Elephas maximus indicus: one gene and its partner. The protein of the gene in region 1 interacts with the protein of each later gene in a pairwise test. Links are inferred from orthologs where the notes say so. Each region holds a gene or a part of one and is shown in the gene's direction. Other genes may lie near its edges.

Region 1 (15,784 bases):
ACTGGTAGAGTGTAAATTATTACAAACACCTTTGAAAACAATTTGATATTCTCTAGTAAAGCTGATGATAAACATACCTTATGATTCTGCAATCCTAAAAAGTCACGCGTATGTGAACTATAAAACATGTACTAAAATGTTCATAGCAGCATTGCTAACAATAGCTTAAATCTGAAAACAACTGAAATGTCCACCAACAGTAGAGTGGAACGATAGAATGCAGATAAATACATTGCAGTACAATCATACAATAGGATACTGTAGAACAATGAAAATGAAAACAAAACAAAACAAAAAACATGGCTACCCCTACTACACTGATGACTTTCAAAAATATAATGTTGTGGAAAAGCAGACAAAAAAAAAATACATATAATGTTCAAAACAGGCAAAATCATACTATATTATTTACAGATATATAAATATGTAATAAAACTATAAAGAAAAGCAAGGAAATCATTATCACGAAAATCAAGGAAAGGGTTACTTCTAGGGATGCAGGAAAGAGTTTTGACCGTGAAGGGTCTTAAGGTAGGAGAGGGGGTGGCTTTTGGGTAGGGGAAAGATGCTTGTGATATTCTGTTTCTTGACCTGGATAGTGATTATATAGGCATGCTTTTATTAATTAAATTGTACATTCATGTTTATTTACTTCTATGTATCTGTACTATATTTCTCAGTTAATAAATATCCACAAAGAGAAGAAGAAAGAACAAAAGAAAGGGGGAAAGGACTTTTATGCAGAGAACAGCATGAATGAAGGCTTGAAACAATGTGCTGTGTGTATGCGAACTGCCAGCGGATTTGTGTAACCAGGGGGTAGGAAGTGGTGAAAAAAATGAGCCTGGAGGCTATGGGAAGGCTTTGGAAATTGAGATGTGAAAGGCTCAAATGTGAGTTCCTCCGGTTGCTGTGAGGAAACCCCGGTGTCGTAGTGGTTAAGTGCTACAGCTGAAACCATAGAGGTCAGCAGTTCGAATCTGCCAGGCGCTCCTTGGAAACTCTATGGGGCGGTTCTACTTTGCCCTATTAAGTTCTACTTTACCCTATAGAGTCGCTATGAATTGGAATCGACTCAATGGCAGTGGGTTTGGTTTTTGGTAGTTGCTGTGAAGAGGTGGATATATGGGGAGGAGAGGGGAAAAAATGGTCAGAGGGAAGACTGGAAGTGAAATAACAGATGATATTACCATGCCTCAGGCAGAGATAATAAGGGCCTGAAGTATAGTGTTGCTTGTAGAATAGGGATGAGCAGATGGATTAGGGACATGTCTGTCTATGGGTATTGGAGACCATGGTAACCTTCCTATCTTGAAAATCACGCAATCACTTTGGAATTCTTTCAACTTTGATTTGTGGTTAAAATGTGGATAGTGGGATTGTAGAAATATCGCAGAGCCAGCAGGCCTCAGTGGTAGGTAACTACATTTCTACTAAGCTAAACTCAGGCAAGTAAGACTCACTCCTGTCTTCCAAGGTCTCCCGGAAAGGAGATTCCAGGCTCCTTTCTCTCACATGGAAACCCTGGTGGCGTAGTGGTTAAGTGCTATGGTTACTAACCATAAAAGTTGGCAGTTCACATCCACCAGGTGTTCCTTGGAAGCTCTATGGAGCAATTCTACTCTGTCCTATTGGGTTGCTATGAGTTGGCATTGACTTGACAGCAATGAGTTTTTTTGTTGTTGTTCCTCTCACATATCCATCACTCTCAAGAAGTCCTTCAAGAGACCTGACCTAAATGCTTTGTCTTCTTCCTGCCCTCCATGGAATCAGAGGACAATGTTGCTCACCAGCCTCTGTGCTAGAGTTTGCCTCAGAGTTAAAGCTCTACGGAGTTCTTTTGAGCTTTTCCTTCTCTCTTAGATCACTGTTGATTATTTCCTTTCTTCCATTAGAATGCAGATCCCAAATAACAGCCCTAATATCATCTCCATGCTTCTCCTTTGAACTTTCCTCCATAACTCTTTTCTATGAAGAGAACTGTCCCCAAACGCTAATAAACGTTCACAAATATAAAGCAGAGAGGCCTTATATCTCAGAGCCCACATTTTAATACAAACAGCAGCAATTTCAATGTTCTAATAATGTGAAATTTTGGGTAACTTAGTATCTACCATTTCCAGAGGCATCTTAGATGGTACCATTATTCTGCTGAGCAACAAAGAGCCACTAATGACATCGGTAAGAGGGAATTGATTTTTTAATAATACAGGATGGGCTGGGAGGAATAGGAAGTTGGATATGTGACTTGGGATCACCCTCTGGGAAGGATCGAGTTCCCAGTTTAATACATTTGATTTGGGCCATCAGCAATGAACTTCACATACAGTTGCCCTCTTGCTTCTTAGAGACCCAGACAATACTGTGGAGACTAACACAGCCTTATTGAAATTGTCCTACTTACGTTGTTTAGAGACTGACTTCAATTCCTGGGGTACTGTTTTTCTTATCCTTGTCTGATGTTTGGTTTTAATTTGGCTTTACTCTCCCGGAAAGACTGATTTTTATGCATCCCTTATTAGATATTTAACAAATGTGTAGAATTTTTGGTTTGTTTTTGTTCTGTTTTGTGCTTTGGTTTTAGGACAGAAGTAGGGAAGGGCACAAGCAAGGGACAAATAGGTCTTAATTTTTTAATAGTAAAAAGTACCCTAGGCTAACATTGCCTTAAATTATTACAGTTTGACAGTTCAGGAACTCAAAGGGAAGAGGAACACTAGCTTTAAAAATTAATATTTAAAAATTATTTCTATTAATAATATCCCCTTTCAGCTAGCAATCTTAAAATTAGTAACAGAAAATTCACTAAATGGAGCATTTAATTGTGCAACTAGAAGCCACAGATCACCAAAGTAGATGGCTGAAACCCAGGACGCTAACTGCTCTCTAACAGAAGGCAGAGTTGGAGCTCTGCAGACTACATGTACTTAAGGGAGCTGCTGCTTTGTCTAGATATGGATTCAGACTTCATTAATTCATCTATTCAACAAATATTCATTGAGTACCCACCATGTGCCAGGCACTATTCTAGATGCTTGATATACAGCAGTGAACAAAACAAAACCCCTCCCCTAATGGATCTTACATTCTAAGTGGGGATGAGAGACAATAAATAAATAAACAAGCAAAAAATACAGTATAATATAGTATAACAGCAAAGTAATGGAATTAGAGAGTTCTTGGATAAAGGGAGTGGGAGCTGCTGTGTTGTATAAGGTGATGGTCGGGGGCCTCACTGATAAGGCCATGTTTGACCTGAAGGAAGGGAGGCATGTAGATTCTAGGGGAAGAGGGTTGCAGCATGTGCACAGACCTAGGGCAGAGGAATAGCAAGGAGCCTGGTGGGGCTGGAGTAGAGAGAGGTGGGCTGTGAGTCAAAAAGGTGGACGGGAATAGGGTGGAGAGAAACAGATCAGGTACGGCTTATTCTGAAAGGGAGGCCATTGGAGGTTTTCCAGTAGGGTCCTTTTGCCTTAAAAATGCAGGCCTTGTGCCCTTAAACTGTGAATGTGTGGTTGACGGGGCCCTTCTCCTCACTTCTGCCTAAGACCCAGCACTGCTGTAACGTTTTGAAGATGTGGATTACATTTTGGGCTCCTTGTCGATGACACTGGCATAGTCTTCTTCTGCATCTGTGGAGTAACACTGGAGTATACTCCTGCAGTGACTGCTAAACTGCAGCTGATAGTGTCTTGCTGGCCCTCGGGACACCATCCCATAGCAAGAGGGAAGTGCTAGACACCACTTTTGACAGTATTTTTAGGTTCTCTGAAAGGGGCAGAGTATAACTAGATGTATTAGAATGAGATCTACAAATTTTTGTGTGCATTTTCTCTAAGCAGAATTTCACAGGCTTCCTCAAGATATGACAGTTGAAAAAAAAAGATATGACAGTTGAGAAGAGATCATGGAAGTTGCATAAAGCAACATTGAAGGACACTAAATTTCTAAAATCTCCTTTAATGAAATGGAAGTCTGGGGTAGACATACCACAGTCCCTACCCTGCCCTAGATACTTGAGATTACTCCTTGCCATTGAGTCAACCTTGACTCATGGCAACCCCATGTGTGTCAGAGAAGAACTGTACTCTATAAGGTTTTCAATGGCTGGTTTTTCAGAATTAGATCACCAGGTCTTTCTTCTAAGGTGCCTCTGGGTGGGCTTGAACTTCCAATCCAGGGACTCCTATTTGGGCATAATTTCCTTTAAACTGGACTAATAATCAGAGAGAGGCAATTTGTCCAGAAAAATCACCCCGTAGCACCAGAAATTGTGGATGTTTTCAGGTAGCTCAGCATTATCAGTGCCTGATGAGGATTCTGACTTGTGGCCAAACCATGCTCTAAGCTGTTTCAAGAATGGCAGCCTTCTGGGGCAGGAAGCTATATGGAGAGGATGGGAAGGACATGCAGCTGTCCATCCAAGGTCATCAGTGGCTTCAGAGCTCCAACCACCTCTGTGTCTGTGGCCAATTTACCCAGCAAACCTTGGACTAGAATTGGTCATTTCAGAAGGGTGCAAGAAAGAAGATTGAACATGCACTGAGAGAGGAAAAAGGAGCCTCTGCAAATGCTGACATTAGAGAAGCCATTGCAGTGGTCAGGGCAGAGATGGGGGATAGAATGAACATCAGCAAAGCAGGTTCGACTGGAATGAAGGGTTATTTTTAGAGGAAATTCAGGCTGCATGAGAAGTTGCGGGGCCCCTGGATTTGTTGATCTGAGAAAAATTAATGTGGAAGAGAAAGAAAGGGGGTGGCCTTAAAGATTCCTATTATTTTGTTTAAGTTCACAGAACAAGCAAATGAAAGTCCATCTTAGGCCTTAAGTGAGGGGTGAGTTTGTGGCTCACCTTATGGCCATATCTGTGACACTTAAGACTCTTAAGAATAGTTGGGCTCTGTTAAAGATTGAATTGTGTCCCCCAAAATATGTGTTGGAATCCTAACCCCTATACCTATGGATGTAATACAACGCAATGCAACGTAATGTAATCACTTTTCATAATGCAACCTAATGTAATGTAATCAATCAATTCAGCTGAGATCATACCAATCAGTGTAGGATGTATCCTAAACCTAATTAATTCTGAGTTATAAAAAGAGCAAATTAGATACAGAGGCACACACATACTGGGGAAGACAGATGCCACGCGAGGATGGCCAAGGAACTGAACACTTGGAGCTACCAACAAGGACAGAATTGACTCGGCTGAGACCCTGATTTGAACATTTAGCCTCCAGTACTGTGACAAAAAAAATTTCTGTTCTTTAAAGCTGCCCACTTGTGGTGTTTGTATTACATCAGCACTTGGTAACTAAGATAGGCTCCCTCCCCAGTCAGAGGCTCACGAGGGCCCAGGGTCTTTGCACACCATCATGCTGGTTACCCTGTGCCAGTGTGGGAGCGGTGAGCAAAGCAGGTTGGCCGTAACAGCAGGCAAACCTCTTTCTGGTGCTGAGAAAACCTAGTCTATGTGACACAAAATCCCCAGTAATATGAGTACTCTCAGCCTCTTAGTCTCTCTTACTGTCTCAGGAGACCCCTGTCCTTAAGAGTTGGGCTTTCGGTACTAGTGCAGATTAGGGAAGCAAGGGAGAGAGTCAAAGGAGCTGAAACAAACTTTGATTCCCTTATGTTAGAAGGACAAGGACTTTCTTTTTGCAGAAGAGAAAAATACATTCAAGAAGTGAGAGGAGTGAAGGACTGAGAAAGCAAGTGCTAGGATTAAGAGAAAGTTTGAGGTGTTGAGGAAAAAGGAGAGAGACTGGAGGCAACAGTTATGCCATAAAACGTGCAATGCATAGAGGAGGGGAGAAGAGGAATTTAAGATGTTTTGCTCTGTGCTGAGAATGTAACCCCATTAGACTTTTCCCAGAGACTATAAAAAAATTGAAATTGCTTTTTAATTATTTTTGGCTATTGGGTGTGAAATCTTGCTGAGATGAGCCACAAGGCAGCTCAGCTTCATAAAAGTTAAATTTGGGGGAGTTACTGCCTGGGATTTGGGGGCCTAAGATGCAGCAGTCAGCTGTATGTTGATTTAAATAATTGTTATAGGTCTGAGTCAAGGGAGCAGCTTCATCATGACTGTTGGATTTGTAGTGCAAAAGACACACTAGCTTTAGAAAATCGAACTGGAGATCAGCTACACACCAGAATAGAGGAAAATGGCAGAGACAATTTAGAATCACAATCTTGGGGAGAATGTGATGTTTGGAACTAGGTGTACCTGATGGAGATCTACATCTATGCATCACGGGGTCTCTTCCCCTCATGGGCTGATGAGACTGGGCTGAAGGAATGGAACAGCTAAGGCGGCTCCCAGAAGATAAGAGAAAGGCAGGAAGCAGAAGAGGAGTGTGTAGGGTTTATTTTTACTCACTATGTGTCAGTCCCTCTGAATACTCTAGTGGGATGGCCAGGTTGTCCCTAAACCTCCTTTTTTTTTGGGAATGGGCCCACTCAACAACCTTAGGGCAATGACATCCAGAGTACCCAGTCCTGTAACCCAGCCAACTGAGTCTCTGCTTTGCTCTCTGCCTCTGTTTTTCTTATTCTCCAGAGACTAGAGCCTCCTCCTACTCCTCCTTGTCTGATTTTCCTACAGAATTCTGAAATTATCTGGTTCTCCTCCCTGTATTTTCAAGTCCTGCTACTGATTCACTCCCCCAGTTCCCACCTACCCGTGGCTCTTAAATGTCTGACCTGGAACTTGACTGGATCGGCCACACCCCTTGATCTCTGCACGCGTTTCCCATGTTCTTTCTTGCTTCTCCAATAATTTCCCCTCCCTCTAGGCTCAGCACCCCCTTTCTATCAGCAGACTTCATGGCCAGTGCCTCTGGAAAGCATGATGTAATCTTGTGATCCTATGCTGAAAGCCTTGACATATATGGTATACTCAACAACTGTGACAAAGAGCCTATATGATGGCATAACCCAGCTCCTACTGCCTGGAGGCTATGTTTAATTTAGGGATTGCTAAGATGGGAGGCCTATAATGGGGAGAGGGCCACTCTTTGTAGGCAGAAGGCAGGGACCCACCTGAAGGGTGAGGGAACTGGCAAGATGAAATCCTTCCCTTGAAGTGCAGGTGAAAAGATGTGAAGTAATAGCCTGAAGAAAAAAGCCTGAAAGCAATGCCAGGCTTTACTGGCTATAGCAGAGCTCTCCAGGCAGGATGACAGCAGGGTTGAACCCCATGTCTGCTCTGGAAACAAGCTCAAGGTGGTGTGATCAGAAACGTATGCTGTGTAAGCTCACCTGTTTTTGTGTGTCCTGTCTCAGCTGCCAGTTCTTCTATAGCTTTTTGTTTAGTCTTTTTGTAAATACCAGTCCACTTTTTCCTTAAGGAAACCGAGGAAAAGCATTTCTGTCCTCTTTTGAGTCAGGGCTTTAGGGCTAACCTGTGGGGGCTCATTGTGACAACAGTGATAACCAAGGTGAGAGTGCTCAAGTTTGTGGAATGAATGAATGAAGGAAGGACAGACCTAGCAGTACAACTGAATCATTAGTTTTAGAAAATACAATATTATGGGTCTTTTATATCTTTGTATATTTGTTTTAGGAAATAAGTTTCTAATAACTACTTTTTTATATTAACAATGTTTTAGATTATTTAAACATTCCGCTGTTGGATATTTAGGATATTTCCAATTTATTTCTACTTTATAGCAGTAATACAGGCAAAGACCGAATAGTTCTTTAGTGCCATGAATGTTTTTCTGGGCCCCACTCTTCACTACGGAAGCCCCAAAGGACCAAGTTTGCTCTCATTGAACCATTAGTGTACAAAACACTCACCCATAGCTATCTTGTCCCCATCTTGAAGGGATGCTGTTTGTTTCTCCTCCCCAGATTTATTTGATCTTGTGAACTTCATTTTTGGTTTCTGATCACTTGGCTTCTCCAATTTACTGTTGTTGTTGGGTGCCACTGAGTGGATTTTGACTCATAGTGACCCCATGTGACAGAACAGAACTGCCCCATATGGTTTTCTTGGCTGTAATCTTTTCAGAAGCAGATCATCAGGTCTTTCTCCTACGGAGCAGCTGAGTGGGTTCGAATTGACAACCTTTCAGTTTACCAGCCAAGAGCTTAACCTTTTTGCCACCAGGGATCCTCTCCAACTTACTGGGTTTATTTTAATTAAGGAGACTTGGTGGCACAGTGGTTAAAGCACTTGAATCCAAATTGAAAAGTTGATAGTTTGAACCTACCAGCTACTCCATGGGAGAAAGATGTGGCAGTCTGCTTCCTTAAAGGTTTACAGACTTAGAAACCCTATGGGGGCAATTCTATTCTGTCATGTGGGGTCTCTATGAGTCAGAAGTGACTCCATGGCAGTGGGTTTGGTTTTGGTTTTATTATTAATTAGTATGTTGCTGCCCAGGGCCTGACTGCTTCTCACTTTACTGTCATCTGTAAATATATTAAATCCAATTTTTTCTTCCTCATCTTCACCTCCCACTAGGCTTTTCAAACAGTGAAAGGGGTTGTCACAAAGGTTGGGACACTCAGTGTATATTTGCACTGGGTGGAGGGAGGGGAAATTATCCTCACACACAGTTCGCCCATCCATCCCCTCCACACAACTGTCAACAGTTTATGCCTTTATTCGTAAGCTGACACAGAGCATTACTCAGAGTTAGAAATAATATTATAGATTATCCAGTCCAGACCCCTAGAAGATCAGGAAAATGATTTGGCCAAGGTCTCTGAATTAATAAGTAGCAGAATCAAAACTTGAATTCAGGTCTCCTAACATTCATCTAGGAGTCCTGGTGACACAGTGGTTAAGTGCTCTGTTGCTAATCAAAGGTCAGTAGTTCAACCCACCAGTGGCTCTGAGGGAGAAAGACGTGGCAGTCTGCTTCTGTAAAGATTACAGCTTTGGAAACCCTATAGGACAGTTCTACTCAGTCCAATAGGATCACAATGAGTTGGACGCCACGGTTTTTGGTTAACCTCCGTCTAGGAGTCCCTGGGTAGCACAGTTAAGCATGCTACTAGCCCAAAGGTTGACATTTTGAACCCACCCAGAGGTACCTAGGAGAACAGGCCTGGTGATCTGCTTCCAAAACGTCACGGCCTTGAAAACCCTACGGAGCAGTTCCACTCTGCACACATGGGGTGCCCATGAGTCAGAATGGACTCCATGGCAACTAACAACATCCACCTGGGTGAGGGAATGGGACACGACACAGTGGTTCTTGTTAAAGCATTCATTTAACAAATACACTGAGCACCTACTTACTATGTTCCAGGCACTAGGGATTCAGCGATTGGGGGGTGGGAGGGAGAGGCAAAATCTCTGCTCTTCATAGAGCTTTCATTCTCAACACTTAAGTGCTTCGCGTCACCGTCCTGGAAAATACCCTAGTGACCTGGGAAGGAGCGATTGGGTCTTCCATGGAAGGGAATCCCATCCTTTCTCAGTTTCTGTGCTTTCTACAAAGACAGCTGATTTACTGCAGAAGCCGAAGTGTGAGGCAGAAATCTCGGTAGTGCTCTCCTTCTACCCTGCCGAAGCCTGGCGGGGCCGGATCCAGGGTGCCGCGGCGCACCAGCTCAAGTCAGATGATTAGCTTGGGCCTCTCTACCCTCTCCGTGTTCCTGCGGACAGCTGGAGGACAGAGAAGCAGGACCCAGCTCTGCGCCATCCCTCAGGGAAGGGAATGCGCGCTGGTGAGAACGCTCCCGAGGCAGTCGCACTCAATGTCTGATACCCAGACTGGGGAAGGGATGATCCCCCTGGGCTTTTGGGTTTACGCAGCAAACTGCTTTCTCATGCTTCCCCATTGAACATTGCAGCCACACGCTCTTTCCAGCCTCGCCGAGGCCACTGCAGCGCTCTACTCTTCCCTTCCGCCCCACTCGTTAGCTCCGACTCCAGAGCCTCGGTTCCTTTTTCTTCGCCACTTCCTGGTTGCTATGGAGACATACGTCATTTACGTGCCGTGCGTCGCCTTGGAAACAGAGGAGCATCCGCGGCGCAGTGGGGAAGTCGGCCCCAGCCGCTCCAAACACGCTCGCGGGCGCTGCCTGTTAATGGCTGGGGGGAGTCCCGAGCCGGACGCGCTGCTGGCCTCTGTCTCGGCCCGAGCCCCTCAGCGAGCGCCTTTGTGACTCAGGGAACCGGCGGGCACTCGCTGCTCCTGGCGCCCTGAGGGCGGCGCTGATACGGGCGCAACCCCGGAGCCCAGGCAGGGCGCGGAGCTTTCGCCCCGGGACGAGCCCGAGAGACGCCGGCACTGGGACCCTCGCCCGGTCCTCTTCCCGCCGCTTCTCCTTGGACTCCCCCGAGCCTGCCCGTGCCCTCCGCCCAGGACTCGTATCCTTACGTCGGCTTCCCGCCCCTCTCGGGAGCCTCCTCTTCCCTGGGCTCCTCCCCGCCTCCTCCCGGGACCCCCTCCTTGCCCTTCCCCCGCCCGGAGGCCCGGCCGGACCGGACCCCGAGCCGCCACCGCCCGCTTCTGCCGTTCAATGGAGGACGGTCTGCTGGAGATCATGACCAAGGACGGCGGCGACATGCCGGCGCCTCTGGAGGTGTCCACGGTGCCGGCCGTGGGGGACGTGATCGCCGGGGAGTACAACGGCGGCATGAAGGAACTGATGGAACACCTGAAGGCCCAGCTGCAGGCCCTGTTTGAGGACGTGAGGGCCATGCGGGGGGCCCTGGACGAGCAGGCTTCGCACATCCAGGTACTCTCGGACGACGTGTGCGCCAACCAGCGCGCCATCGTCTCCATGTGCCGGATTATGACCACGGCGCCCCGCCAGGGCGGCCTGGGCGTGGTCGGCGGCAAAGGGAGCTTCCCGGGCGCCCCCCAAGAGCCGGAGAACCCTTCGCCTGGGGCCGGAGGCAGCGGCTTGCTGGGTCGCGAACCCGAGGACGAGGAGGACGACGACGACGAAGTAGAGAAGAAGGAAGTGCCCAGCCCCGCCACACCCACCAGTCACTGTGAGCGTCCCGAGAGCTCCTGCGCTGGTCTCCTTGGGGGGGACGGGCCACTTGTGGAGCCCCTCGACCTTCCCGACATCACCCTTCTGCAGATGGAGGGCGAGGCCTCCCTGTGAGGGGACTCCGCAGAGGCACCTTTCCGGGCTGGCTGTGGGTTTCCCAGTGCATGACGTGAGAGGACTGAACGGCGCGGTGCCGCATGCTACCTCGTAGATCAGGCAGGGAGAGACTCCCGAGGAATGATTTGTAAGGTGAAGGACTTTGGGAGCATCAAGAATTCTTTCTGCACAACCAAGCGAGAGGTAGCAAACGGCGGAAAGGTGAGGCTCCAGGAGAGGAAGCGCCCGTCTCTGGACTCCTATCCATCCCCTACCCTACCCTTACCCCTCTCCGGCCAACAGGAGAACCCCTGACTTGTGTAAATAAATTCTGCTTTTTCTATTCTGAAAAAGGACTTATCTAGGACTATGGCAAATAATCTCTAAAGATTTACCTAGAAATTAAGGAATTGGGGTATTCTGTTCTGGCAACAGGACATTTGCCCTTCTGCTGAAACCCAACTTATTCAGTGCTCTGCAGAAGGCTCTCCCCCTCACAGATCTCGGCGGCTCCTGATTGGTAAAGGAAGCTTGAGGAGGGAACCGCAGCCCTAGGAATCTGGGTGAATGGGGTTCCAAGGGCCCCTGGGCTGGGAGGAGCTGGCTGTGAATGTGCATGAAGACATAATAGTTCAACCTCTAGGATTTTGCATGCAGAGCGGATCCTGCCTTGTCACTGACTTCATCCGGGATTGCTTTTCCACTCACTGGGGTTTAGAGAACAAAGAACCCAGCTCACAGGCAGAGACTCGGGTGCTCAGCAGTAGCCCAGATTTAGGGGACGTTTGAGGGACTCTTGGGAGCCGCAGCCAAAAGTTCTCTCTCTTCTGGCTACATCCACTTAACTTCAGTTCCTTTTGCTGCCAAAATATCCTTGCCCGCTGCCTCTCGGTGTTGCCTCCATGATGTCTTGTGTGTATTATGTGTGTCCACATGTGTAGTAGTGTGTGAGCCCTGAGGGGCAGGGCTTGTGGCTCTGGCGTTAGGTTTAGGGGACATCCGACCCTTCTGAGTCCCAAGCTGTCATGGCGCTTCCCCTTCTCCCTTTCTACCCCCACCAGGGCATGGAGCATGTGGCTGTCCTGAGGTTCCTTAACTCACGTGCCTCCCTGCTGCCTCCTCAAGTGGTGACTTTGTGTGCCCATCCCCCTCCTTTGTGTATCCCTTTCTCAATGCTTTCCTTGGTGTTAACCTTAATAAAGAGGCGTCATCTCCCCTCCTTGCTGACTGGTACTAGAGGGATGTTAGGGTGGGGCTTCTGGGCCCACTGCATGGACCAGGGCTTAGTGGGAACTGCCTTCCCTCCTCTCTCCTTGCTTCTAGTTCCAAGGAGTTGACCCACCATGGTCGGGACAGTCACTGCCAGTTTTGCCTGCTTTCCCTTCTGATCTGGACCTTGATCTCAAGTTGGACTAGGGAAGAAGGGAATATTTGTTGAGACTCCCAAACTAACAAGAATTTTTAGTAACCAGAACTTCAGATGTGCTAAAGACTTCTTTTCAGTGAAGCACCTGGCCCCTAGGAAATGATTTCCAAGTCTGGATCCTGGAATGGCAGGCGTGACATTTGTTCCATGGAAGGGTTAAGGAGGGGAGACCTTGGGTGGTACGGTTAGTGCTCAACTGCTAACCAGAAGGTTGGAGGTTTGAGTCCACCCAGAGGCACATCGAAAGAAAGGCCTGGTGATATACTTCTGAAAAATCACCCACTGAAAATCCCATGGAGCATAGTTCTACTGTGATACGCATGGGGTTACCATGAGCCAGAGTGGACTCCATGGAAACTGATTTTTTTTTTTAATTGTTTGGGAGGGATTGCCGGGGATTGCTGGGAGGCACAGAGTGACATATCACAAAGGAAACCACAATAACTGCCTCAGATCTCTAGTGGAGAATGCTGGTGTGGTGTTCCCTGGGGAGCTTAGGCAGACATCAACTCTAGTCACTCCCTTGAGCAATGGAGATTTCCCAAGGCAGCCCTGGAATGCAATTTGAGAGCAGGATGAACTGGGATGCTGTGTGTATGTGTGTGTGAGAGAGAGAGAGAGAGAGAGAAAGAGAGAACAGGGAGGTGGAAAGAACACTAGAGTCACAGATCCGGGATAGAATCTCAGTTCCAACAGTGAATCAATTTCTTAAGACTTAGTTTCCTGTTTGAGACTTAGCTTTTGAATGTATAAAGTGGGGATAAAAAGTTATTGGGGAGAATTAGCTATATAAGACCCCTAGGAAGTCTTGTGCAAATGTTAGTTTCCCTACATTTCTCGGGGGTGGGAATGAGACAATGACTGACTCCTTTGGGAAAACAAAACTACCCAGGGAAGGTTCTAGAAGCTTTCATTTTATATAATCTTTCCCTACCTAAAGAACCCTTATCCTTCAGGAGAGAATTCAGGAAAAGAGGATGGTGAGATTCCTAAGCTAACTCAGGTCTTTTTTTCTCATAAATGTTCATATAACTATAAGCTTGGGGGTCAGCCCTGTGCACATAGGATGAGCAGAGGAAGCCTTGAGTTATGCAGTGGTTGGGAAATGTGTGTTGGGGGCTGTAAAGAAGGCAGCTAAAACATGTAAGTGGGGAAATGTCCCTGAGGACTCAGAGAGAGTTTCCTGCTATAGCTCCAGTATTCAGCACTAATAACTAATAATAGCTACAAGCACTTACTGTGTGCCAGGTACTATAATCAAATTTATCTCCCAACAACCCTATGAAGTTAGCAGTGTTATTATTTCCACTCAACAGTTCAAGAAACAGCCTTCAAAACTTGCTCAAGGTCACACAGCTAGTACTTGGTAAAGCCAGGACTTAAACCCAGGTCTGCCTGACTTGAAGAGCCTTACATGGTAACCACTCTGCTAATTGCTCTATTATTTGGATCTTCAGAGGACATTTATTATCTCCACAATCTAAAGAGTCTTGAAAAGAAAATAACCTTAGTTTTAGTCATGTTTCATCTTCTCAGTTGGAATGAGAAATTGCAATTTAGGTTTTGGCTAGTATCTTAGTTATCTAGTGCTGCTATAACAGAAATACCACAAGTGGATGGCCTTAACAAACAGAAATTTATTCTCTCACAGTTTAGGAGACTAGCGATCCAAATTTAGTGCACCAGCTCTGGGGGAAGGCTTTCTCTCTGTCAGTTCTGGGGGAAGGTCCTTGTTTTCAATCTTCCCCTGGTGGAGAAGCGTTTCAGCGCAGGGACCCTGGACCTGCTTTCTTGGTGGTAGCAGGTCCTCCTGTCTCTGCTCACTTCTCTTTTATATCTCAAAAGAGATTGACTCAAGACACAATCTTGTAGCTTGAGTCCTACCTCATTAACAGAACTGCCTCTAATCCTGCCTCATTAACATCATAAAGGTAGAATTTACAACACATAGAAAAATCACATCAGATGACAAAAAGGTGGAGAAACCATGGCCTAGCCAAGTTGACATGCATTTTGGGGGGACACAATTCAATCCATAACAGCTAGTGACTCTTCTTAGAGTCCAGTGGGTGGTAATGTAATAATGGCACCAAGAAGACGGCCTTCTGGGCCTGCTCCTTGAGAGGAAGAAACCGATGCTCCCAGGTATTCCCTGACACAGCTCCATCTTTATGCCTCTTTCCCATTTCCTGTAGCTCATATCCTCCAGTCTGACCTGAATCCCAATGGCAGCTTACCCATTTAGCCTCTGTAGAAAGGGCTAACATTTGACTTTATTTCAGTGCCCCATCCTATGCCCACTCTCCTGAACATGTCATCAATCTCAGCACAGAGCCTCCTAGAAGGTCTCTAGTTATCCAGTCTCCCCTAAGTCCAGATAGATAAAAATATCCCCCCAACAGGCAATTCTTCAGCTTTCTTCAGTCACCTGCACCAGTATCTCACAGGTATCCATTACAGGTTGGTTTCCACCTCCTTCCTCCCCATTCCCCACTCTCCTCTTGTGTTTCTCCTTTGGAATGCTGCTGATGAGTGAATTTCAGGTAGGATTCCTAACCTGAGAGTCATGGGAAGGGGTTACTATTAGACTCCAGGGGAACATAACCCTTTGAAATTGAATGTAAAACCTCATAAGTGTGCATTGTCTAGAGAGAAGCTCCATTGTTGTCACTTAATTCTTAAAAGGGTATATAAATCCCACCCCCCAAAGTAAGAATCACTGAGCTAAAGGGTAATGAGTTTGTTTTTTTTTTTTAACTTGAAAAATACCAAGGAAGAAATGATCCTGCCTGAGGCTGATACTCCTAGCACCCTTGCCTCCTGGGGTCTCCTGACTATTTCCTACACCAAATCGCAATCTTTACATAAATCTGATTACTAACCACTTACTCAACAAATTCAGATTATATTGACACTATATGCTAAGAATCCTGACTTCCACTGCTTCGAAGTCTGCTAGTACTTGGGGTATGCCAGGGCAGTGCTGATGTATGCAAGTGAAGAGATGGCGTCCTCCGTGAGACTGTGCTGCCCTTTAAGTCTGAGCCGAATATGACACAGTGCACCCAAAGTTTCAGGGTTACTCATAACCACTCTTTGAGTTCCTGGCCTTCTTGTCTCTCATTGGTCTAAGGGACCTCTCTCAGTGTTTGGCTCTTAATCTCTTAGTATCTTTACCTGAAAACACATACAACTTCATAGAAATAAGTGAAAACTTTAACCTGGTACAACTGAAATCTGCTCTTAAAGAAGTAGCGACTTTTCTAAAAGATGCAAATTGGCCTCCAATATAAA
Region 2 (16,725 bases), on another chromosome or scaffold:
ATTTATTACATTAATAACATTTCTAGCAAAAACAAGTAACAAGTTCAGTAACTAAATTCACATTGACAAGTTTCATTTTGATCCATTAGCCAATTTGGAAAAAAGCCATACCAATCAAAAGGACAAAAGTAAAAAGCACCTTTTCCTTGCTACATATTTTTTTTAACACAAAGGCTCCAAGCAGATGTTAGATGCAAAATCCAACTGTATGACTCATTTTAATTAAGACTATGACATAGACTTGTGTCTCGTACATTTTTTTAAAGCAGTCTTTTATACAATTTTAAAATCATACGCTTTAACCATTGGGCAGGAAACTGAAAATACATTTGTGAGAATTACACTCCACAGTAAATACCTATGTATTTATGCTGAATTCCCATGTCACGAGGAACCTTAACCTACTCTAAAACATCTTGAGATAACTTAAAACTCTATCACTTTTTTAGAAACATTTTTTTTTGGTACTTCAGTCAAGTGCTGAGGGGAATATATTCTAAAATCTCTAGAATTAGAATTTAGATTTCCAACACTCTCATGCCCCACAATTGTGAATACTCAGAAGTCCACATACCTCTTGGATCATCAACATTTGCAGTGCTGATAAATGACATTTGAGAAAAAATGACTAATACAGAACTAGCTGGATTTATACTCCCAAAACCACCTAAATTTATCTTTAGGCTTTATATTTACAGTATTATCCAGTAGAAATTAAAAAGTTACACTACTCTTCAAGCTCTATTCCAGATGTCTGCTTATTAAGACTTGTAGTTTATGCAAAGGTGAACCACTGTCCTCTAAAATTCCACTATACTACTTGTAGAGCTAATACTAAAATACATCAACCCAAATCTTAGGAAGGCAGCACATCCTTAGGAGTAACTAGTATATAAAAAGTATCAACATCAGTGGTTTGAATATAAAAATTTATTTTTAAGTCAAAGTATGCAACAAATAAAACCTACAGAAAACAGGATTTTTCCATCACAATTTGTTGCTTTACCAAATAATATTCTGAAAACACATTCCTTCAGTCATTATAAAGTTCTTAAAATACAAAAGAAATTAAATCTGTAAGAAAGTCTAGTAGACCAGATGCTGTTGTCAGGACTTGTATGTTGGTGGTTATGATCAGTACATCCCACGCCATCCACCTCCACTCATACCGCCTTGCCCGTAGTACCCTCCACTGCCGCCGCCGCCGCCGCCGCCACCACGGCCTTGAAAAAGAAGAGACATTAAGAATTTGTTGCATAGATAATAGGGTGTAACACATTACAAGACGTGTGTGAACTTTCAGTTGTCTGCACCACATACAAGGACTAACACATATTGAGCATCCAGAGTAACCACTTACCATAACCGCCCAATCCATCAGGAGTACCATATCCTCCACTGTAACTGTTCCCCATTCCCATTCTTCCAACAGACCCATAACCTCCCTGATTATCTGAAAGAAAAAAAGGAATGTTTCAGATTGACTGCTAAGTGTGTTAACTTTGCTTATTTAAAAAACTTTACGTACCCATTCCATCTCTGCCATAGCCTCCCATTCCCGAACCTCCCATTCCAGAACCGCCTCCAGGAGTAGAATTCAAGAAGAGTTCAATGTATCGATGTTCTTTAAAAAAAAAAAAAAAAAAAGTAGTAGGGGAGAGAAGAACAATGGATCAGATTTATCAAGAAAAGTGCAAAAATGCTGATTAGCTAATATTAAACTAAAAGTATACTTGCCAATTTCTAGTGGGGTGATAATAGGGCTAAAATCCAGGTCTCACTGAAACTGTACAACCTTGAACAAGCAACAACGTTTGGGCCTCAGTTTCCTCATCTATAAAATAGTTAATTCAGAATCACCTGGGGGGGGGGGGGTACTTCTTAAAAATATATTCCAGGCCCAATTATAGAACTGAATTAGAATCTTGAGGGTATACCCCAGAACAGTTTAACAAGTACCAAATGATTGATAGGTAGTAATATCTGGGAATCAGGTAAGATTTACTGGCACAGAAACAAATCTGATGACATGCAGGACCTACCCAAGCTGGCAAATGGACCTTAAATGGTATTAATGTGCTTAATTGAGGACATGGAAACTTAGGCAAATGTAAATTAACACGCCTTTTTCTCCCTTTTAGTTAATCCGAGCTCCAATGATCTATCAAGTATTAAGAGTCTGAATCAATTCTTTTCAAAATTTATCTCTTAGCTGTATCGACAGCTATTCTTAATATAAGAGATTAATCCAATGAAAAAAGTCCCTAGGAATCCATTAAAGTCTATATGGTTTTAGGTCCCAGTGACTGCCAGAAGTTACCTATATACCCTAGGGCCTCTTCACTTAGTAAGAGATACTTATTCTGTAAGGGAGTTCACATTTATGAATCAAGTCAGACAGCATGCCAAGGATACCACTTACGCATGTTATTTTTGTCTTTAGACATGGCAGCTACTGCATCTTCATGTGTCACAAACTCTACATCTGCCTCTCCTGTTGCTCTGCCATCAGCTCCAATATCAATATGAACTCGTATTGGGTTTAGTGGTGAGAAGAACTGAATAAAACAAAACATTATTTTCTTTTTATTCAGATTTTCGAAAAGTAAATTACCACATACCTTGGTTTTGCAACAAAACCCTCCCACTCCCGTGTTGGTAGTCTAACTGCATGAACTACAGAGGTTCTGGGAATGTAAGACTACACACTTAGGGAAAATTACCCCTTTCAAAATAATGTATTTAATTTAAAATGAAAATACCTAACCTTGAAAATCAGTTTACCTTCAACAGATGAAAAAATCTGATAGCCTACTGCTGAGAGTAAAGCCCCATGCCATGACCAAGATATGTATTTAAAAATTGCTATTTTAAATATATAGGTCACCTGAGACATGGAAAACATGCACAGAGACACTGTGTATCATGATTCTGAAGAATGGGGTTTGATAAACCTATGAACTGCATGAGTAATGTCCAAAACATCATTAAATTCCAATCTCAAGTTAATTAGGTTTACACTATCCTTAAAAAGCACTTAGAAATTAGGCCATCTGCTTCTCAATACAATCAAGAGCAAATTTTTTTCTGCATGAGCCAGACAGTAAATATCTTTAGCTTTGTGGGCCAACGGATCTCTATCACAACTACTCAACAGGTAAACAAATGAGCATGATTGTATTTGGCCCATGGGCTCAAGTATAGCAACTAGTTTCAAATCAAAGATAGCTGCAGTATTTACTCCTATTATTTCCAGCTGCTCGAATTTCTAACCAATTTCTAGCCTAAAAAGCCAATCCAAACCAATGAAACTATAGACTTACTACATATTCACACTTTCTAACCTGAGGAAACAAAGGAAATAAGCTTTGAATCATCACCACCCTGTGCTGATCATTCTTTCACTATATTCTTAAATGGACTTTATGAATTTAGCCTTCACTTGCTCGAATCCTGTGTAGGCTGGCACAAAATGGACATAAAAATATTCATCAACTACTGAAAATAAGATAGATATATTTTTATATTCAAGAGATTTTGACATTAAACTACAGAGGAAGACTTCCATTAAGAATGCTTCAAAATTTGGACACCAGAATAACTATAAAACCAGTAAAAATCACTTACATTAGCAATGTCGTTTTCAGTTGCACGAAAAGGCAACCCTCTCATATGTACAAAATGACCACCATGAAAACCGGAACTTGCATCACCAGCTCCACCGTAACCATGTCCTCCCATACCTGGAGAATGAAGTTTCTGAAAGTTATAAAATGCTGACACATATAGCAAAGAGAGCATTTTAATAAAATACAACACTTCTCCCCTACACACACCCTTTTCTTTGACAATTCAAGAAATCTTATCACTTAGTTATTTTAAGCATCAAACGGAGAATCTGTCTGAAAGTACACATCAAGAACTATCGAAGGTATAAAGCCCTATACAGGAATGAAGTGAAATATGCCTGAATTGACTTTTTTTTAATTACCACTTACTGGTTGCAAATATTAAAATTTATGGCAAAATGAAAATGTCTTTTAACATTTATTTTACCTCTTCCATCTCTCATTCTTTCATCAAAGCCATCATTTCCATAGCCATAATTATTATAGCCACCATAGTCATCAAAACCTCCATAACCTGTGCAATTTAAGGAGAAATACATGAATACACTTTGAAGAGATAGATTTTTATAATCTAGTTTATAAAAACATACTTTGTATGTTTTAAAATATACACTTAGGTCATAAGTTTGCAACTCTTAATACACACGAGAAAAACAGTTAACATCTGGTGGAAATTAAAAACCCCAAAAGGATAAATTCAGACGTGCCAAGTAATCATCCTGATGCCAAATAGAAAATGTCAAAATATTTCAAATGTCTCAACTTCTTTATCTGAATGAGTTATCAAGGTGCCAATACGTGCATCAATCACATCCCACAGGTGGCCATGGGAATCCATTTTTTCATGAACAGGTTTTAAAACCTAGTAGGTACTGGAATGACTGCCATTTCTGTATTTCTTGACAAAGTGTCAGGAATATTAAGAAAATGACAACAGAACCTTTGTTCATTAGCTACACATACCACCATCATATCCATCACCTCCTCGTCGCATTCTGTCATACATACTTCCACGCCCAGCTCCATAATAACCCCCTCTTCCTCCTATTGGTCTATCATATGGTCCTGGCCGCTGCTGTCCCAGCAATCTTCTTGGTGGGTCATAAAATCCTTTGATTTCACTCCTGCTACTTCTGAAGATCTCAATATACCTATTTAAAAATGTTTTAAGGTACAGGTTTCAGCACAAATGTATTAGAGTAAACAAGATATTGGGCAAAATGCAGTAAGTTTGTCTACATCTAGTTACATAACCCAATTTAAATTGCCTAAATACACCGTAAGTTAACATTTTTTATACCTACAAACTTAAATATTTAAGTTTTACTAAGATAAATTAGTTGTTTGAAAAGAATCCATAAAATATAATTTGTTTTCTTTAGTACATGATAGGTGTTTAAAGAAAATAGGTGATTACGCAAAAGCATTTATCAACAACATCCTACAGAAAAATGGGAACAATCTAATTTTAAGTAAACTTAGCATTAATTCCCCACCCACATCTGTAGTTTCCAAGTTAAATTTAGATAAATTATCAATTCTTTTAAACTATCCCAGAAAAATGTTATGGTTACCCCCCCATTTAATAAAGTGACCCACAACCCCCAAAAATAAAAATTTAACACCATCCCGAACTCTCCATCCCCACCTGTGCCCTATTCTTTCCTTGTGTTTCCCCAGAGCATTTTCTGCTATCTCCTTTGAAGCAAACTGCACGAAGGCCTCCCCTGTGCTTCTCCCCTGGTAGTCCATCGTCAATGTTATCCCATTTGGCACGATTTCCAACCCTTTAACCCAAGGACAAATAACCCCATCAAGGGGAACAGTGTTAAAGGCTGAAACATTCCCATCTGTATCAAATATTTAAAACAAGTCTAAACAAAACAAAACAAAAAAAGCTTAGTTTCCCATCACCCCATAATACAAATGGAAGATTTTTTTCATATATTATTGGATTAAATAATTTTCTTTGCGACCAGTGTCTTTTTAAATTACATACACACTCTCAGCCCACCTATATTACATTAAAAAAAAAAAGAAGAAATGGCTATAAATCAAATTTAACTATGCTCCATATGCTAATTCATGGTTCATTTCATCACACATAATTACTCTCAATTAAGTTTACTGGGTATCAGTTCTTATACATTCTATACATTCTGCATTGAAATATTAACTGGAGCACACTTCATAGTTTAAAACATTCACCGAGATATCATCATTAAAACTAAAAGGTTCCAAAAACAAATGGGTTTTACAAATGAAAAGCTGAATAACAACATAAATCAAATATAAAATTAAAATACTACTAAACTTTGACTAATACTAGAGGTACCTTGAAAGAACTGAACTATTTCCTCTTTGCTGCAACCAAATGGCAGTCCACGAAGTCGTACTGTCCCATCACTAGCGTCATTTGGACCATTATGTTTCATAACCCAATCCATCTCAAAACCGTTTGATATAAATGCTACAAAAATAAACAAGCACATAAAGTAGTCAATCAAAACATACTCTTGCCAGAGGTACTGAAGAAACACCTCTCAGTGGTGTCACAACAGGAAATATAAGTGACTCCTACTATAATGCCACAACACAATGTACAACAGCTTTCTATTTCGGGCTAGACAGAAGATTGGAAAAAGGCAGTGAAACCTCATCAATCACCCCTAAAAAGTACTGAATCTCTAAGGACCAAATATATATTGCCTTGTTTTAAGAAAACTTACAAAATTCCACTGTCTTCAAACCCTCCGCCTAGTTCGTGACCTGTCATCTTAATGTCAAACGTTTTCCTCCTGTCAAACTTTCGTATTTCTTCAGATTTCATTATTTACCTGAATAGTTATGCAAATTCTTTAAAATTTGAATTCATTCAGAAGCTGTCTGTAGTACCACTGTCCACTCGCATTAAGAATGTAAATCAAAAATAGAAGGAGTACTTCTTTGATGTCGGGAAAAAAATGGTATTACAGAAGCTTGAAGTTAATTCTGGCCTTAAATCTGAACATATTAAATTGCTTTTTTTTGTGGGGGGAGATTTCCACCTCTATTTTAACCAATTCTAGATTAAACACTCCCCAGGAGCAACAGCTTAAAAGTGACTGAGTTAATAACTTCCAACAGTCTTACTGTTTTTGCAACCACTGGGGCTAGTATACAGAAACAAGACCATCATTGCTTTACTTTTAAGTCAACACAAAAGTTTTTTTTTTTTTTAAAAAGTAACATTCACATTCAAAAAGTGGAAGGGCACATACAGTAAGACGACCCCCCTTCCCTCCAATATGAACCCACCCACCCAGTTCCTTGGAGCAACCATCTCTGCTTTTAAAATTCCCAAATATTTTCAAGAGGCTTTTGGTTAATGCAGAAGTCCTTCAGCTGCAGAAACTTACCAGAGCCATACAAATTTCACTAAGCAGCTGTAGGAATCCTACTCACCTGAGTATTTCAAACCTTTCCCTCACCACCTCCTCCCCTGTAAACAAAACAATTTGTTCACTTGACTCCTTTATGCTTGAAAATTGTATTTCATATCAATAATATTCATTAATACGTAATGTCACATCATCTAATTATCTGTGCAAAAGTTAGGGGTAGCACCTCCGAAGAGTAAAATTTCCTTTTCCCAGTATTTACACACCTAAAATATGCTAATGCAGAAATTCTCCAAATGTTATTATTAATCAAGTATTTCTGCACATGAATCTCCTCTTCAATGTTTTGTTTCTTAAAGCAAGAGCTCTAAGTGCCACTCTAAACACAGAGAATCAAAATGGGAGGAAGTGAAATTTTTAACTGGTGTTACAACTAATTCTTGCACACACAAACATACGGTATGAACTTTTAAGAGTGAGAAACCCTGGCTTTGAATCCCTACTCTTCCACTCACTGGATTTACTTAATTAAGCAAACTACTTAACCCCTGAGGAACCTCTGTTCTCAACCGTAAAACAAAAGTACTGCCTACGCCTCACCTGTTAAAAGAATTGTTTAAAGTGCTTGTTGTGCCACACTGTAAGTGTATTCAATGGTGGCCATTGTTACTGGACCTTATGTGGCCCTGCAAAACTGATGAGATATACCATAAACAAGATATCTGAACCTTAAGAGAGAAAGCTATTCTGACTCTTGCAAGGAAATAAAGACTGTTAAAAAAACAATTATCCTCATTTTTTCCAAAGTCAACAAAAGTTTTGCCATGTAAAAACTAAGTTTTTAAGTTTCTTTAGGAACTGTATGAAGGGGTGTGTGCAAAACATTTACCACAATACATACGTTAACTAGAAAGTTTAAAAAATACTGTTCTGGAGTAGGCCCCGAATCAATTCGAAAAAAAGTTCAATCAGAAACATTTAGAAATCTCTAACAATTCTTAAGTGTGTGTGTCTCCTATAAAGGGTCGTTTAAGAACAGAAGAGGGAAAAAGTGGAGGACCTAAAGTCAAATGTTCCTCATGAAAAATTTATTGTGCAGTCAATCCAATCTATTGTGAAGACTTTAGTATGGTGCTTTTTATCATCTCTTACCACATTTTTTTCAATGTACTCTTTCAGGAACAAGTAACAAAAAAAGGAAAATTAGGTTGTTTTTGCTATAAATCTTAGCACCAAGAAATACTAGCAAAGAAGCTAGTTTTGATTTTTGGATCAGCCTGTACCAATGAGAAGACCTATATACATAAAAACACAACCCAGTGAAAAACCCAGTGCCTTCGAGTAAAAACAAAGACCAGAAAATAGAAAAAACACACTAAACTAAAAATAGCTAACTGGGGTGGAGAGTTCGTTCTTTTTCTTTTACAAAGGGGTACATCGTACAGTCAACACATCTAAAATCCAGCAACACAATTTTAAATTGGGGAAACCTGAACCAGATTCTGAAGATTTAAACTATTTTGTACGGTGATTCTCCACCCCATGTGTGAAGAGTACACACTAAACGGTGTTAATAAAGACAGCCCCATGCATTAACCCTTCAAAGTCGATTAAAAATTTAAGAGTCTAGAATTCTACTTAAAAAAAAAAAAAAAGACAAACTAAAGCCATACAAAAAAGCAATCTGCTCTAACACATTAAAGCTGTCTGAGAAACTACCTGGGTTTACTACTTATACAGGATAATCCATCTCAACCTTTCTTTGCACCAGTGTCATGGCTAATTACTATCATGCTTTTAAGAATTCCAAATGCTACCACCAATTAAAAACACCAGCAGTTAAACCTGAAAGGATGACTTTTAGCAATTTTATGAAACTTTAGATATAGCTTTTCAAACATGCTATATGTGAAAGCAGCCAATCACAAAAGACCACGTAGTGTGAATCCATTTACATGAAGTGTCCAGAATAGGCAAATCTTCAGAGGCAAGAGTTGTGCTGGGGGGGGGGGGGGGGTCAGGTCAGGCGGGGAGCAAAGGGAGGGCGCGGGACAGGGGAATGACTGCTAATGGGCATGGGAGTTTCCTTTGGGGGTGATAAAAATGTTTTAAAATTAGACTTTAGTGGTTTCACAACTCTGTGAATATCCTAAAAACCACCGAATTGTACATTTTAAACGAGCGAATTTTAGAGTATGTCAATTTTCTCAAAAAACTCTTAAAGAAAAAAAGTATAATATAGCATTACTTTATAACATAGGGGCATATTGTGTCCTCTGTAATACAATAAATGAAATAAAGACTTATTGCCTCAATAAATAACTTTCTAAACTTTGTTTTGGAAAAAAAAAAAAAGGTGTTAAGTTTAACTAAACTGAAAATTTTACACCATTCCCCCTTTCCAACAGGCTTGTTTCTTGATTTTAAATATTTAGATGCACCACCAATATCTGAAGATGTGAGCTGTTTACAATGATTGTGAATGACTTACTAGAGCAAAGCTGTGACCTACTGCAGTTCAGTGACTGCTTCCCAAAACAAGTAATTATTTACCAAAAATAAAGTTATTGGGGGGGGGGAAGAATTATATGGAGTTCAGATAATGATGCTGATGAAAAACAGGGCAGAAAAAAACATCTAATTAGAAAAGCTGTTAAATGATGTCATATACTCCTTAACATGAAACCCTGGTCCGACTTTTCAAAATCCACTAAAACCTGTTTCAAGGCAGGATTTTAGTAAACTTTTCTTTGGCAAATATTGACCAAGCATCACAGTCCATCTTCAACAATATAGGCAGCAAGATTTTCTTTAAGCTAAAAAAAGTACATAACAGATTTCTTAGAAAGATTTACACAGATTATTAAAAACTCTTATTCTCAGGCCTTCCCCGCTCTTTTACTGTCTTTAGTGAAAATTATCCATCCAGTTCTCTGTTCTCAGAACCAAAAACCACCACCACCACGACTGAGCTTACAGTTTGACTTTCTATTTAGTAGGCTTTTTTCCCTGGCCAGAATATTACTATACTCCTACACTAAAGAAAAAACATGATTAGCTGCCAAAAGAAATTAAACCCGAAGTGTATTCTGAAATATTTTACTTCTAGCTTCACTGCCAAAGAGGGGAAAAATCTATGCACAAGGTACATTCCTTGGAAATCTTTCGGTACAAATTAGTAACTCGATTTGTACAGGTAACTGTTATCACCATGTGTCTTCTAAAATGCTCCCACTTAAACCCGTGTGTGCTAAACCACCCCACCCCAACCTAAAAGTTCAAGTAGCCCTAACAGTTCACTGCGCCTGGACAACCTATTTGAAATATGCCTATACCACATTCCTGTTTGAGAAGTTACCCATTTTTCTGATTACTAAATGATTACCCATTTTTTTTTTTTTTCAAGTTAAAAGTAAGTGTGAAAACCTCCCCCTTGAAAAACGAGTACGTACTCTTTCCGAAGTTCCAAACCTGGAATATAAGGGCCGGCTAAGCGTCCTTTATCCCTTCCCGGAGACTCTGCGTTTAGCTAGCTGCCCTAGGGACCAAAACGCTAAGCAGAGGACGCCCCTTCCCCCTCCCCGCCCGGCAGCCAAGCCTGGCTTAAAGACCTTCGCCACCGGGCGGCGGAATTACAAAGGAGGCCCTCCTTTGTCCTGGATTTGGGAGTTGAGCGCGCGCCTTCGTCGCCATTGGTTTTCCTCCCCCGGTTCCAGCCTTTCATCTTGGGAATCTGCGTCAGAAGTCACTCGCAGTCCCGCCAGCCCAGGTAGCCCAGCCTAGACTGCGGAGGAAGGGAGGCCGGGTGGGAGGCCAGGCCCGTCCGACGCCATTTCCACTGGGAGCGCGTCCGATAACCCTGATCGAACCCGCCCGAGCGCCCGGCCTTTCCCTGCTCGTTTCACTCCCCACCCTCATTCCCTCCAGAGCACTCTGACCCCCGGCTTTCTAAACCAGTTTTCGGAAGCTGGGGGCCAAAAAGCAGAAATAGCGGGGAAAGGCGGGAAGCCCGGATGGCCGCGCCACCGTACTCAAAATGGCGGAGGCCAAGCCAACGGGGAAAAAAAGAGGGAAAATGTTGGGTGCTCCCCACTTCGGTCTTCGGCTTCGTCCACTGAATTCCACCTGAGCAAGACCTCCCTGCAGCAGGCCGTCCTCCTTGAAGTGGGAGATCGCCCGGGAGGCACAGCCCGGCTGCCTCCGAGCGGCGACCTCCCCACTTCCCCCCACCCCACCCCACCCCCTCTCGGTCTCTCTTTCGTCCTTCTCCCGACTCCGCTCTCAAAACCACCAGCCCAACCTACCCCCTTTTTACTTCAGATACCCTGTCGGGAGACAGTAACGCCGGCTCCGGTGCCCACGGGGTGCGGCCGTGAGGAAGGAGAAGCCGCTCGACTCGCGTAGCGCTCCCCGCAACGGTCCTTCCAACCGTCCCCAGCGGTAGCAACCGCTGAGGGAGCTGCGCAGTACAGCGACTGGTTGGGGGGATGGGAGCGAGCGAGCGAGGAGGAGGGGGTGGAGCGAGAGCCACGGAGAGCGGCCGGCCCCACTCTCGCGAGAGAAGAGACTCCGCCCTGTCGTGGCGCGGCAGCAAGTAGTGCGCTTGCGCGCTGGCGAGCTGGCTAGTGTTCTGGAGCGAGGTGGAGAAAAGAGGCTGGTACGGTTAGAGGAAAAGCGGCGACGGACTCGTTTTGTCGTGGTTATCGTGAAACCATCGGCGGCAGGGACCATCATTTGCCTTTTCGGGGAGGATGTGAAGTGGTAGTAGTAGTCCTGCCAGTGTGTTCTGAAGGAACCGTGCTCTGCCCACCGTGAACAAATTCCCTAAAGGCTCCTAACCCCAGTGTCACCTTCTTGGGAAGGGTGCCACGTGGTTTGGCCGTCAAACGCAGGGAGGGCTTTTCTTGTCCACCATATTTGCATTATGCAATAAAAATGGAGCATTTCTCTGCTTCGGAGATAAAAAGGCGTCCACCAATATACGCGCTCGGGCTGGGGAGCCTCCCAGTGGAGCTGCTGGCACCACAGTCCCCCAATCTCCCCAACCGGGCCTGGGCCACCTGGCAGCCAGCTCTCACCTTAGTGCTACCTGATCGATTTTCTCTCTGCCTTATTTCCCTTCTTTCTACAAATCTTTCTTCACTCTCCTTCATGTTATCTTCTTTTTATCTTCCCCACTTTTATTTCCCAGTTATGGCAGCCGACTTAAAGTTTTTTGTAAACCCAGCTTTGTATTTTTCAGCATTGCCAGTACAGATGGCACCTAATACTCACTTTTTAATTGTGCTGCTATGCCACCAGAAGTTCCTGCATGGCACAAATGGTTAACCGCTTGACTACTAACCAAAAGGTTGGCGGTTTGAACCCAGCCACAGGTGTTTTGGAAGGCAGGCCTAGGGATCTGCATGGAAAAGGTCACAGCCTTGAAAACCCTGTGGAGCAGTTCTACTCTGCACACATGGGTCACCAAGAATTGGAATCCACTTGATGCCAACCAACAACAAGAAGTCATGTCACTAAGGTTCTTAATGATACCTTATGGCCTTTTTGTAAGTTTCACAAAAGATGCAAGACTAATTTCTGTGGTAGGGGTGGACGGCAATCCTAATAAGGAGATCAATGCAAATTAAAGTGCAAAGGTAGAAACTTGAAGTGCGAGAGAGGTCAGTTTGTCCGCGGCTAAGTGTTTCTGTAGGGTGAGTTAAGGTTGGAAATGTGGAAGAACCTAGGCTGTAGACAACTTTCAATGTCCAGCCAAAAGATTTTGGACTTGGTGCTACAAACATTTGGGAGCCCATGGGTGTGAGAGTGTGGGAGAGAGCTCCAGTGGTGTTAGTAGTAGAAAAGCATGAACAATTTTTCCCCTGTGATATCTGCAGTGTGTAGGATACAGACATGAGGCCATTTAACTTCCCATAATGGAACTTCCGTTTCATGACCTTAATTCATCCTCAAAGTTGCTTAAGACAAGTATGGGGCAGCAAGAATTGTCCGGGCCATACTGCCCTGCTGCCTTCCTTGAGCCCGCTCCTTCAAAATACCCCTTAGCCTTAGGGGAAGCAGAGAAAGGGCAGTGGGATCATCATTACCCAAAAAAAAACCCCCAAACCCATTGCTGTCGAGTCGATTCTGACTCATCGTGACCCTATAGAACAGAGCACAACTGCCCCATAGAGTTCCCAAGCAATGCCTGGTGGATTCGAACTGCTAACGTCTCAGTTAGCAGCCAGAGCGCTTAACCACTCTGCCACCAGGGTTTCCCCAATACACGTCATTAACAGGATACAAGCCATAACCAACAACACACAAATTCCAGAAGATTAGATAACTGGGACCTAAAAATTAAACACTTATGCTCATCTAAAGACTTCACCAAAAGAATAAAAAGAGAACCTACAGACTGGGAAAAAAATTTTGACTCTTAAAAATCAGACAAAGGTTTAATCACTAAAATCTATAAGAAAATCCAACACCTCTAAAATAAAAAGACAAATAATCCATTTAAAAAATGGGCAAAGGTAATGAACAGACACTTCACCATTCAAGTGGCCAATAGACACTTGAGGAGATGTTTGCGATCGCCAGCCATTAGAGAAATACAAATCAAAACTACAATGAAATTCCATCTCACCCCAGCATTACTGGCAAGAATAAAAAAAAACAGAAAATAACAAATGTTGGAGAGGCTGCAGGGAGACTGGAACTCTTAAGCACTGCTGGTGGGAATGCAAAATGATACAACCATTTTGGGAAATGATATGGTGCTTCCTTAGAAAGCTAGAAATGATCCAGAAATTCTCCTAGGAATATATCCTAGAGAAATGAGAGTTGTCACACGAATAGATGTACACAAACCCATGTTCATTGCAGCATTGTTCACAATAGCAAAAAGATGGAAACAACCTAATTGCCCATCAACAGATGAATGGATAAACTACGGTACATAAACACAATGGAGTACTACCCAACAATAAAGAACAATGATGAATCTGTGAAGCATCTCACAACATGGATGAATCTGGAGGGTATTATGTTGAGTGAAATAAGTCAATCACAAAAGGACAAATATTGTATGAAACCACTACTGTCAAAATTCACAAAAAGTTTACATACAAAAAGAAACAATCTTGGATGGTTACGAGTGAGGTGAAGGGTGGGGATGGAAAAACATTAAATAGATAACAGATAAATGGTAACTTTGGTGAAGGGTAAAACAGTACACATTACTGCAGAAGCCAGCACAACTTGTCCAAGGCAAGGTCATGGAAGCTCCACAGACAAATCCAAACTCCCTGAGGGACCGAATTGCTGGGCTGAGGGCTGTAGGGACCATGGTCTTTGGGAACATGTAGCTCAGTTGGCTTAATATCATGTTTATGAAGAAAATGTCCTACATTCTACTTTGGTGAGTAGCGTCTGGGGTCTTCAAAGCCTGTGAGTAGCTTTTAAGATACTCCACTGGTCTCACCCCTTTGGGAGCAAGACAGAATGAAGAAAACTAAATATAGAAAGGAAAGATTAGTCCAAAGGACTAATGGACCACATCTATTATGGCCTCCACCAGACTGAGTCCAATACAGCTAGATGGTGCCTGTCTACCACCACTGACTGCTCTGACGGGGCTCACAACAGAGGGTCCCGGACAGAGCTGGAGAAAAATGTAGAACAAAATCCCAGCTCACAATAAAAGACCAGACATACTGTACTGATAGAGACTGGAGACACCCCGGGAGTATGACCCCTGGACACCCTTTCAGCTCAGTAATGAAATCACTCCCAAGGTTCACCCCTCAGTGAAAGATTAGACAGACGCATAAAACAAAATGAGACTAAAGAGGCACAACAGCCCAGGGGCAAGGACTAGAAGGCAGGAGGGGACAGCAATGCTGGTAATAGGGAACCCAAGGTCGACAAGAAGGGAGAGTGTTGACATGTCGTAGGGTTGTTAACCAATGTCATAAAACAATATGTGTACTAAAACAATATGAGAAACTAGTTCGTTCTGTAAACCTTCACCTAAAGTACAATTTAAAAAAAAGATTAAAAAAATTACAAGAGATTGAAAAACAAAACTGGGATATTGTAATCACAATTGTTCACATTTATTGAGAGCTTACTTGAGGTAGGCACTGCTTCAAGCACTCATTTCATTGACTTTACAACTCAAAAAGATGATAATTATTATTATCCTCCTTTTACGGACGAGAAGCCTGAGCCCCAGAGAAGTGAAAAACGGTTGCCCAAGATGACACGGATACTAAGAGACAGAACTAGCGTTTGACCCAAAGGGCGTTATTCTAAGGGCCAGAGTCATAAAACACTGTGATATTACTTTCCGTGCTGGAATAAGGAAAAGTACACAACTTGACCCTTTTGTGAAAGCAGACCATTTACTACTCTGCGTATTGGTGCCCTGATGCGTAAAATGAGGGGTAGTTATTTCCGCTAAGAAACACTGGGATTACCATCTCAGGAGACCTGTTTGTTGTTGCGTGCTGTCAAGCTGATTCCCACTCACAGCAACTCAATAGGACAGAGTAGAACTGCCCCATAGGGTTTCCTAGGCTGAAATCTTTATGGGAGCTGATCGCCAGGTTTTTTTCTCCTGAGGGGCCTCTGGTGGGTTTGAACCAATGAGCTTTTGGTTAGCCCCAGAACCCTTAACCACTGCGCCACCAGGGCACCTTTAGTTCCCAGTTTATTGACTGGAAGTTTTTGAACAGGCATGAAACTCAGTAATCCTGGTATCACTGACACTCTAAACACCCCCCATACACACATATCTTTTTAATAATAAGACTCTGAGCACCCACACTTCAGATGAGGTCCTTCTTCCCTGGCTTCGTCGTTACTTTATCCTTTCAATCTTTCAGCCTGATTTGGCTGATGGAATTCTGTAATCCCTTTCACTCCTTGATTGAATTCAAATAATCTATTCACTGCCTGATTGAATTTGGCATTCCTTCTGCATAGTTTCTTTGTTATGGGGCAGAATCCTAAAATCATTCTAATGGTATGAATGACTTTTCACCACCAAATTGCAATGCTTTCCTTGTGGGGTTTGTTTTTTTTTTTTTGGCCAAAATTTCTTTGTATTGGGCACTGTGCTATTTGGCAACGTGAACACTTAGGAAAGACTTGAAATTCGCATGTGCATTGCTCTTGCCTTTTTATAATTACAGCAAGTAGGAAGTTTTCAGTTAAAAAAAAGAGTACACTAAGTAGGGGTAAATCTAGTGTTCATTTGGCTTCTCATTTTAGTACTTTTCTAGAAACAACAAAAAAACTAACCCACCTTTCTATCAGCTATTGACATTTGCAAGCTGAGTCCTGTAAACACGACTTGGTGAGACTGGCTCACCTTTGCTCCAGGGATCCCTGTAGAACCGTTCCCTGATGATCTCTGTGGGATTGTTTCCATAGGGACGGTTAGGACTGCTGAGGACTAAAGGCTCCCAGCCGCTTTAGGCTTTTTTTTTTTTTTTCTCTTTGTCTTGTTTTCAGTCATTTCGTTGCTTTCCTATTAGCATAGAGATCAGAGGGACCCTGGAGAGGATCTTGTTAGAGGCCAGAATGAGAGAAACGATGGAAAATGAGAAGGAAATAGAGGTACCCACACCACCCAGAGGAAAACAGGATAGCGAACACGTGACCATGTATTACACCATCAGCATGACGAAGAGAGGAAAGTTCCGTGCGGAGCCCAAGAAAAAGAA

The links.
Region 2: the proteins of CCDC184 (region 1) and PBLD interact in binary tests that used the Homo sapiens proteins (3 or more experiments, as listed by UniProt). The two-hybrid records come from large-scale screens. The link is inferred for Elephas maximus indicus from reciprocal best matches to the Homo sapiens genes CCDC184 and PBLD.

Annotation. Positions count from the first base shown.
Region 1 is NC_064822.1:103,052,925-103,068,708, forward strand, and holds CCDC184 (coiled-coil domain-containing protein 184), read left to right. Parts: upstream 1-9,990; 5' UTR 9,991-10,488; coding exon 10,489-11,082; 3' UTR 11,083-12,283; downstream 12,284-15,784.
Region 2 is NC_064834.1:19,535,264-19,551,988, forward strand, and holds the start of PBLD (phenazine biosynthesis-like domain-containing protein), read left to right. Parts: upstream 1-10,557; 5' UTR 10,558-10,778; intron 10,779-11,313; exon of another isoform or gene 11,314-11,516; intron 11,517-16,725. Other genes in the region: HNRNPH3 (heterogeneous nuclear ribonucleoprotein H3), read right to left, coding at 1,135-1,223, 1,361-1,453, 1,529-1,624, 2,423-2,558, 3,628-3,743, 4,057-4,143, 4,593-4,780, 5,278-5,416 and 1 more.